Macaca mulatta: one gene and its partner. The protein of the gene in region 1 purifies or fractionates together with the protein of each later gene. This does not show direct contact. Links are inferred from orthologs where the notes say so. Each region holds a gene or a part of one and is shown in the gene's direction. Other genes may lie near its edges.

Evidence for each region. Proteins that work in one complex are often made in the same cells at the same time.
Region 2: the proteins of WDR5 (region 1) and CCT7 purify together in Homo sapiens (affinity purification with mass spectrometry; 3 studies listed by BioGRID and IntAct, with this or other methods). This does not show direct contact. The link is inferred for Macaca mulatta from reciprocal best matches to the Homo sapiens genes WDR5 and CCT7.

What each region holds. Positions count from the first base shown.
Region 1 is NC_133420.1:8,377,342-8,381,607, reverse strand, and holds the start of WDR5 (WD repeat-containing protein 5), read left to right. Parts: upstream 1-1,465; 5' UTR 1,466-1,512; coding exon 1,513-1,601; exon of another isoform or gene 1,602-1,729; coding exon 1,730-1,893; intron 1,894-2,133; exon of another isoform or gene 2,134-2,252; intron 2,253-2,307; exon of another isoform or gene 2,308-3,002; intron 3,003-4,266.
Region 2 is NC_133418.1:51,484,067-51,487,629, reverse strand, and holds part of CCT7 (T-complex protein 1 subunit eta), read left to right. Parts: intron 1-845; coding exon 846-1,034; intron 1,035-1,664; coding exon 1,665-1,762; intron 1,763-2,108; coding exon 2,109-2,241; intron 2,242-3,015; coding exon 3,016-3,222; intron 3,223-3,563. UniProt on the Homo sapiens protein: Component of the chaperonin-containing T-complex (TRiC), a molecular chaperone complex that assists the folding of actin, tubulin and other proteins upon ATP hydrolysis.

The sequences.
Region 1 (4,266 bases):
TATCGCAGGTGAAAACAGAAGAGAAAATAAGAATCACAGAAAAGGAACAAACATGTTGGATATTTGTTTTTCAGAACATTAACTAGGCTTTGGCCACCAGGAGTGACTTAGTAAATGGAACTGTTTCTCTGAAAAATTTTTTTTTTTTTTTTTTTGAGACGGAGTTTTGCTTTTGTTGCCCAGGCTGGAGTGCAGTGGCACGATCTTGGCTCAGTGCAACCTCCGCCTCCTGGGTTCAAGCGATTCTCCTGCCTCACCCTCAGGTGATCCACCTGCCTCAGCCTCAGACTCAGGTGATCCCGACCTCAGGTGATCCACTCCCCTCAGCCTCCCAAAGTACTGGGATTACAGGCGTGAGCCACCGCGCCAGGTGGGATTATCTCGTTTTTACTAGAAGGCTCTATCTCCTGGGGGTGGGATGGGGTGGTGAGATCAATTCACCTGGAAGTGGAAGCTGGGAACCTGGTTTGAGTTCTGATAGTTCTGGGGTCCAGCCCCTTATCTTGCTTCGCCTGGAGGGCTGAAGGACTGGAAATACTTTTGTTTTGGGGCTGGAACGCGGGCTGCAGTTTGGGAGGCGGCGGTAGTTTGGAAAAGGAGGCGGGGTCTGGTAAGCACTTTACCCGAATTGGGCAGTGGGAATTTGGGAATTGAGGACAATGGGAAGCTGGTTCTGAGTTTTAAACTGGGGAGTGACAGATCAGAGCTGGATTTTTAGGAGTTTCTCTGTCTGCAGGTTTAAAAAAGACCCGGGTGGGAGGTAGGGCTGGGGTGAGGAGGGAGAGAAGTGGACGATCTGAGAGCTGAGGCGGGGTGGAAGGGAGAGCAGCCTGTCAGGGGCTCGGGATTCCGGCCCAGGCGGCCAGAGATAGAGATGAGCTTCTTTCTCCGAACTGGGTTTGCTAACCTGTGACTGTCACTACTCCATGCTCCAGGGCACCTGGCCCAAGGGATCAAGCCTTTTGGGCACACAGATCCACCTGGAGCCCTGAAGGACCAGACAGGGACCTCGCCTTCTCTGTGTCCTTCCTGGGAAGGGGACTCCAGACCAACTGCCAGTCTTCCGGTTCCACCTCTCTGACAACCGCTCACCTCACCCTCCTTGGCATCTTTATTTCAAACGCTCTGTCCTTTTGTTTGCACGGGTTCCTGTGTCACATTCTGTGTTCCCATTTTTAATTGGAGAATAAGGGACTGCGTTATTCTACCCACAGGCCTAGCTGAGGGGATAGGGAGGCCGTGCCTACCTCCAAGGCTCTACGAAGTGAAGCAGGCGAGAATGTGCAGTCGTCGAGGCCAGAGGACCGGGCCTCAGCTTCTCCTTAAGACCCTGAGTCCTCCTCTGGGGACCACCCCGTTGTACCTGGAGGAGAAAATGCCCGCCCAGGAGGGAAGGGTTGGCCCCCAGAGAGCCCGCTGCGAAGTGAGTTTGCGCACTGCGGAGTGACTCCAGCGCGGCTCTGCCAGTCCGCGGGGCTGGCGGGGAGCAGGTTCGTGCACCGCGGGCTCTGCATGCAGAGGCGGGAAGCGCCCGCAGCCCGGCAGCCGGCCCAGCGGGAAGGCGCAGCCCGGGCTTCCGAACCCTGTGAACGAACGCGCAGGTTCCTGGTCTTCCAAATGGGCAGGAGTCGTCCTACCTGCCTGGGGTGGGAGGCCACATGGGGGCACTGCGCCCGGGAGCGGTCCCGGGTGTTTTCCAAATGCCCACTGCTGCTCTCATCCGTACCAGCGATGATCAAGAAGGGGCCTGGTCGCCCGGGGAGGTGCCCCGGTCCGACTTGACTCCGGGGACAACGCCGGGCGACGCCATCTGCGCAGGTCCCGGAAGGCCGCTTGTGTCTTTGTGCAGGGCGTGCTGTCTGTGGAAACGCGAGGGCACACTAGCACTTTCCTGTATGTATCATTATACTTCAATTTTTAGGAAGTACATTAGGAGGGCCTGCACCAGCCAAATTCGGGGATTAAAGCTTTTAAGCGGGAAGCACGCGCCCCGTGCTGTCCCTTTAAAGCGTTGGGCCGGCCCGAGGCATTCTGGCCGCTGCCGCTGCCCGTAGCGCTCCTCCGAGAGGCCGGCTTTGTGAGCTCGCCCCGCCCCCAGGACACCGCCCCCCTCCCCTCGCGCACGCGCACTGCGCCCCCGCCGCCTGGCGCCCGCCCGAGCTGCCGCCTCGTCGAGCTGAGTCCGCGCTCCCGCCCAGGCGGCGGCCGACGCGACGCCCCGAGCGCCCGGCCCCGCCGCCGCGGCCCGGCAGGTAAGCGGGTAGCCGCCCGGCCCGGGGAGCGCAAGGCGGGCAGCGGGGCGGCGCCAGGAGCCGCCAAACCACCCCCGGCCGCCGCACGTGTTCCCCGCCGGGCCTCGGGCCAGGCCCAGCCCCGGGCGCTGCTCCAGCTGCAGCGGCCCCGCCCGGGACCCCCGCCCTGGCCTCTCGGTGGACGGCTGCGCGCGTAGGCCCCTCCACCCCGTCCGCCCCCACTCGCGCCCCCACCTCCGCTTCCCCGGCGGGCCACTGACAAGGCCAGAGCGCCGGCACTGGGGCCTCTTTCCCGCAGGCGGCGTACCGGCCTCACATCGCCCCTCTTCCTCCTCTGCCCCTTCAAGGAAGGACCCCAGACCCACCAAGCCACTCAGTCCCTGGACGTGGTGCGCTTCCCCTCCTCGTAGAAACGCCCCCAGCCCGCTCCCGCCGCTCACCCCAACCCGAGGTAGCCAGGCTGCAGTTCGCTAGGTGGGGTCCTGGGGTGCGGGTCCTCGGTCCTAAACGGGGGGCCCACCGTGCCTCCTCGCGCGGGGCCGCAGACCTGTCCTGGCCGATCTGCGAGAGCCATTTTGAGCGGTTACGTTCCGGGACCAAACTGAGGTCGGCCTGTTATTTATCGCTAACGACACTCCCTGCTGTCTCGCTTGCAAGTTTCCACTCACCCAGGTCCGTTTACCCATCTCTTCAAATGCTAGTTTAATCTGTGACCTGGGCAGGTGCTGTGCTAGCCGGTGGGGAAGACAGGTAAGCGAAGGACCCAGGCGGAAGCCTGTCCAGGATCTCAGAGAGGTAGAGCCGGGTTCCCACCTGTGTTGGGCTGGCCACCTGGCTGGTGTTGAAGATGCAGATTAATTCTTGTCTTTGCACACAGTGTGCTCTCCTGACTGCACGCCGCAGGCAGGTTCCTGGGCTGGATCTCAGGGACTGAGGGACTCAGGCATCAGCCTGTGGCATGCAGTCCAGGAGGCCATACTGAGATTTGGTTGCTGGGCTTCAGGTGGTCAGGCTTACCTGGATGAAAAGCAGTGGCTGCTAGGTGGAGTCAGGCAGCAGCTGGTCTAGAGGTCACCTCCTCATCACCGTGCCTGTAACCTCGGTCCCCCCCCTTTCCTCAGTATCAAGTCTCCAACCTTCCTGTTCCCTCAAAATGATTGTTCCACAGAGACACCTGGTTGGTCATGAAAATGCCAAGCCTTGGCCCAGCGCGGTGGCTCACGCCTGTAGTCCTAGCACTTTGGGAGGCTGAGGCGGGCGGATTTTCTGAGGTCAGGAGTTCGAGATCAGCCTGGGCAACATGGCGAAACCCTGTCTCTACTAAAAATACAAAAAAGTAGCAGGGTGTAGTGGTACGCACCTGTAATTCCAGCTACACAGGAGGCTGAGGCACAATAATTACTTGAACCCGGAAGGTGGAGGTTGTAGTGAGCCGATATCGTTCCGCTGGACTCTTTGGACTCTGTCTTAAAAAAAAAAAAAAAAAATGCCAAGCCTAGATGCCACTACTGAGGTAGAAACTTGGCAGGTGTGTTGGGTCAAGAAATTGCATCTCTCCCCCTACCACCACCACCACGGAATTTTTCACTCTTTGGCCCAGGCTGGAGTGCAGTGGTGCAATCTTGGTTCACTGCTATCTCTGCCTTCCAATTTCAAGCGATTCTTCTGCCTCAGCCTTCCCAAGTAGCTGGGATTACAGGGACCCGCCACCACACCGGCTAATTTTTGTATTTTTAGTTGGGACGGGGTTTCTCCATGTTGGCCAGGCTGGTCTTTATCTCCTGGCCTCAGGATCTGCCCGCCTCCTGCCTTGGCCTCCCAAAGTGCTGAGATTACAGGCGTCAGTCACCACACCCTGCCACTGTATTCTTAAAAGTCAGGTTAAGGTTGTTTTGTTTGTTTCTTTTAAATGTTAATGGTTTTTGAGCCCAAAGGGTTGGGCAGGTTGGGCTTGAGCTGGGAGGGGCTGGGCACCTTTTTTGTAAGACCGCCTACCTGTTGTTCCTCATGTGAG
Region 2 (3,563 bases), on another chromosome or scaffold:
GTCCTGGGGAAGGGGTTGGCAGGGCCTCTATAGCTACATAGCCTGCCTGGTATTTTGGTTCCTCTTGTTGGTGCAGGTGTGAGTTCCTCCACTTCTAGACTAGACCTAGTGCTGCAGAGACAGGTGTGCTCTCATTGTTGATGTTACCCAGGCTACCTCTGGAGGTAGCCGTGTCACCCATCTTTGAGCAGTTCTTGGGGAAGGGGTCTTTTTTTTTTCCTTCAAGATGGAGTCTCACTCTGTCGCCCAGGCTGGAGTGCAGTGGTGCAATCTCGGCTCATTGCAACCTCTGCCTGCTGGGTTCAAGCAATTCCCCTGCCTCAGCCTCCTGAGTAGCTGGGATTACAGGTATGTGCCACCACGCCCAGCTAATTTTTTTTTGTATTTTTAGTAGAGACAGGGTTTCACCATGTTGGCCAGGCTGGTCTTGAACTCCTGACCTCAGGTGATCCACCCGCCTCGGCCTCCCAAAGTGCTCTGATTACAGGCATGAGCCACTGTGCCCAGCCAAAGGGGTCTTATTGGGAACTCCATGAATCCAGCACCTCAGAAGAGGCTAGACCTCAGCCAGGTTAAATTATTTCTCACATCTTGACAGCACTAGCTCTGGTTCTCAGCCTTGGGGTTACTTTCTGTTTTTGTGTTGGGGAGTTTCAGGTGATTCGTAAGTCATCTTATGGGGTCCTTGTTTGCTTGGACTGAGGAGTGGCTATTCTGTTTATCTCTGTTAATTCCCAGATAAATCAGCATGTTTTATTTGGTGGGGGCGGGTGGGTGTATTTTACCTTACCATATATGTCAACCTTCACCCCAAAGCATTCTCATCCTTTTCTGGGTCTCTCCAGGATTATCAGGCAATTGTTGATGCTGAGTGGAACATTCTCTATGACAAGTTAGAGAAGATCCATCATTCTGGAGCCAAAGTTGTCTTGTCCAAACTCCCCATTGGGGATGTGGCCACCCAGTACTTTGCTGACAGGGACATGTTCTGTGCTGGCCGAGTACCTGAGGAGGATCTGAAGAGGACAATGATGGTAACCAGATTTTCACAGGCTGCTTCTTGGCCTTTGTGGCCCTGAAGGGTTTTCACTGACCCCTGGTATAACAGATAGTGTACTGTCAGGTTGGCATGTGAATTGAGCCCTGTTTTTTTTTTTTTTTTAACTCTCTTTTTTTCCAGGAAGCACTCCATTTCCATGTGTGTGTGCCCAGTGGCACAAACTACTTCAGTCTAACCAAAACAAGTCCAGAAATCTGGTTTGTGAGAGAACCTAGCAGTAATGCTATGATTAGCTGGACAAACTCAAATATGGATTCTTCTAGCCAAATTTCTTCCCTTTCATGAGCATCCCACAAACGATACTTTTAGGTTTAAAGTACTCCTGAGTTCAGGTGCCGGACCCAGTGCCACCCTAGTTAGGGGAGGGAGTATAAGCTGAATCGAATGGGTCCTTATCTCCTTTTTAACTTCTCCTGTTTGCCCTTGATGTGTTTTAGTTCTGTTTTGGTTTTTTGCTCTTTCAGAGGTGGGGAAGGGTCGCCTGGAAGTCAAGGGAAAGGGCGGGTAATGCAGAGGCATGGGAATTGGCCTTGAGACGAGGTGGCAGGAAGCTACCTGGCCTCGGGAACCTTCACTGCTAGATCTTGCCTTCCTTGCTCCCTAGGCGTGTGGAGGCTCAATCCAGACCAGTGTGAATGCTCTGTCAGCAGATGTGCTGGGTCGATGTCAGGTGTTTGAAGAGACCCAGATTGGAGGCGAGAGGTGAGCCGTGGGCCCAGGCCGAGCTCACAACCCGCCTGGATCTGGTCTTCTGCCATCTTTCGGCTGTGGTATACAGGTTTTACGGAGTCTCACCTTTGAGCCATAAAGAGCTCAGATAATGTACAGCATTACAGGAAGATCTAAAGCCTTGACTCCACAATCTTCTATGCCCTGGTGGTACAGTTGTAGACCTTTCCAAGAAAGCGTCTGTAAGGTTGGGATTGGGTAACCTGAGTGAAGAATGTAAGAGCAGCTGCTGAGTGTTGGGAGGGCTGGCAGTGAGAGCAATACAGTAGGACGGTGGCAGACAAGAGTTCATGTGTGTACTATTTAATCCTGGGCATAGGTACAATTTTTTTACTGGCTGCCCCAAGGCCAAGACATGTACCTTCATCCTCCGTGGCGGTGCCGAGCAGTTTATGGAGGAGACAGAGCGGTCCCTGCATGATGCCATCATGATCGTCAGGAGGGCCATCAAGGTACGGGGCTGATGGCCTCCTGCCTGCACAGCCTACTCTCATCTCCCTAGCTGATCAGACCTTGGATTTGTGTGGTGATTCCTTCTCTATATAACCTGCCCTTTCCTGGGTGGTGTGGTGAGCCCTGATTTGCCCCACAAATGGTAGAGAAACTGAGCCTCAGTTTCTCAAAAATAGGTCATCCTGCCTTGAAAGCTAAGACTTGTTCTTTTAGCCAGGTGTGGTAGCTCACACCTGTAATCCCAACACTTCGGAAGGCCGAGGTGGGAGGGTTGCTTGAGGCCAAGAGTTTGGCACCAGCCTGGGCAACATAGCGAGACCCTGTCTCTACAAAAAAAAAAATTAGCCAGGAATGGTGGTATGTGCCTGCAGTCAGTCCCTGCTACTTGGGAGGCTAAGGTGGAAAGATCCCTTGAGCCCAGGAGTTGGTGGCTACAATGAGCTATGATCACACCACAGCACTCCAGCCTGGGCAACAGAGCAAGCAGAAGAAACACTTGATTTTGTTAGCAAACTGTGGATCTAATGTAGTCAGGTATTCCAGTAATTGTGCCAATGTCTTTGAGCTGCAGGTGACCTTGAAAATAGAAACCATAAGGTTCAGCAGGTTGAAGTTGGGATGTTCTAGATAGGGACTGTGTCTGGGCTTTTGGGGCTTGGGATGGAGGAAGGAATGAAGAACCACTCTTTCTGGGCTGAAGGGACCTACTGAGTGGCCCCGCATGGAAGTTTGGACCAGGGGCCTTCTTCCATTGAGAGGTCTGATCTCTGCAGAATGATTCAGTGGTGGCTGGTGGCGGGGCCATTGAGATGGAGCTCTCCAAGTACCTGCGGGATTACTCAAGGACTATTCCAGGAAAACAGCAGCTGTTGATTGGGGCGTATGCCAAGGCCTTGGAGATTATCCCACGCCAGCTGTGTGACAATGCTGGCTTTGATGCCACAAACATTCTCAACAAACTGCGGGCTCGGCATGCCCAGGTGGGTCCTTTCTCTCCCCAGGGTTCCGGGTTTGGGCAGGTGGGCTGGGTTCTGAATGTGAGCTGTGCTTACTCAAGCTGTTCACGCGTAGCCCAGGAGATAGGCTGCAACTCCACCCAGCCTGTCTACCTGACCACCTGCCTCCTCTGAGGGCAGAAGGAAAGCCATGGTGCTAGCACTGGAGATCCAGGGTTTCTTCATTGCTTCTACCAAGAATATGATTGTGGCTGGGCGCGGTGGCTCACGCCTGTAATCCCAGCACTTTGGGAGGCTGAGGTGGGTGGATCATGAGGTCAGAAGTTCGAGACCAGCCTGGCCAACATAGTGAAACCCTGTCTCTA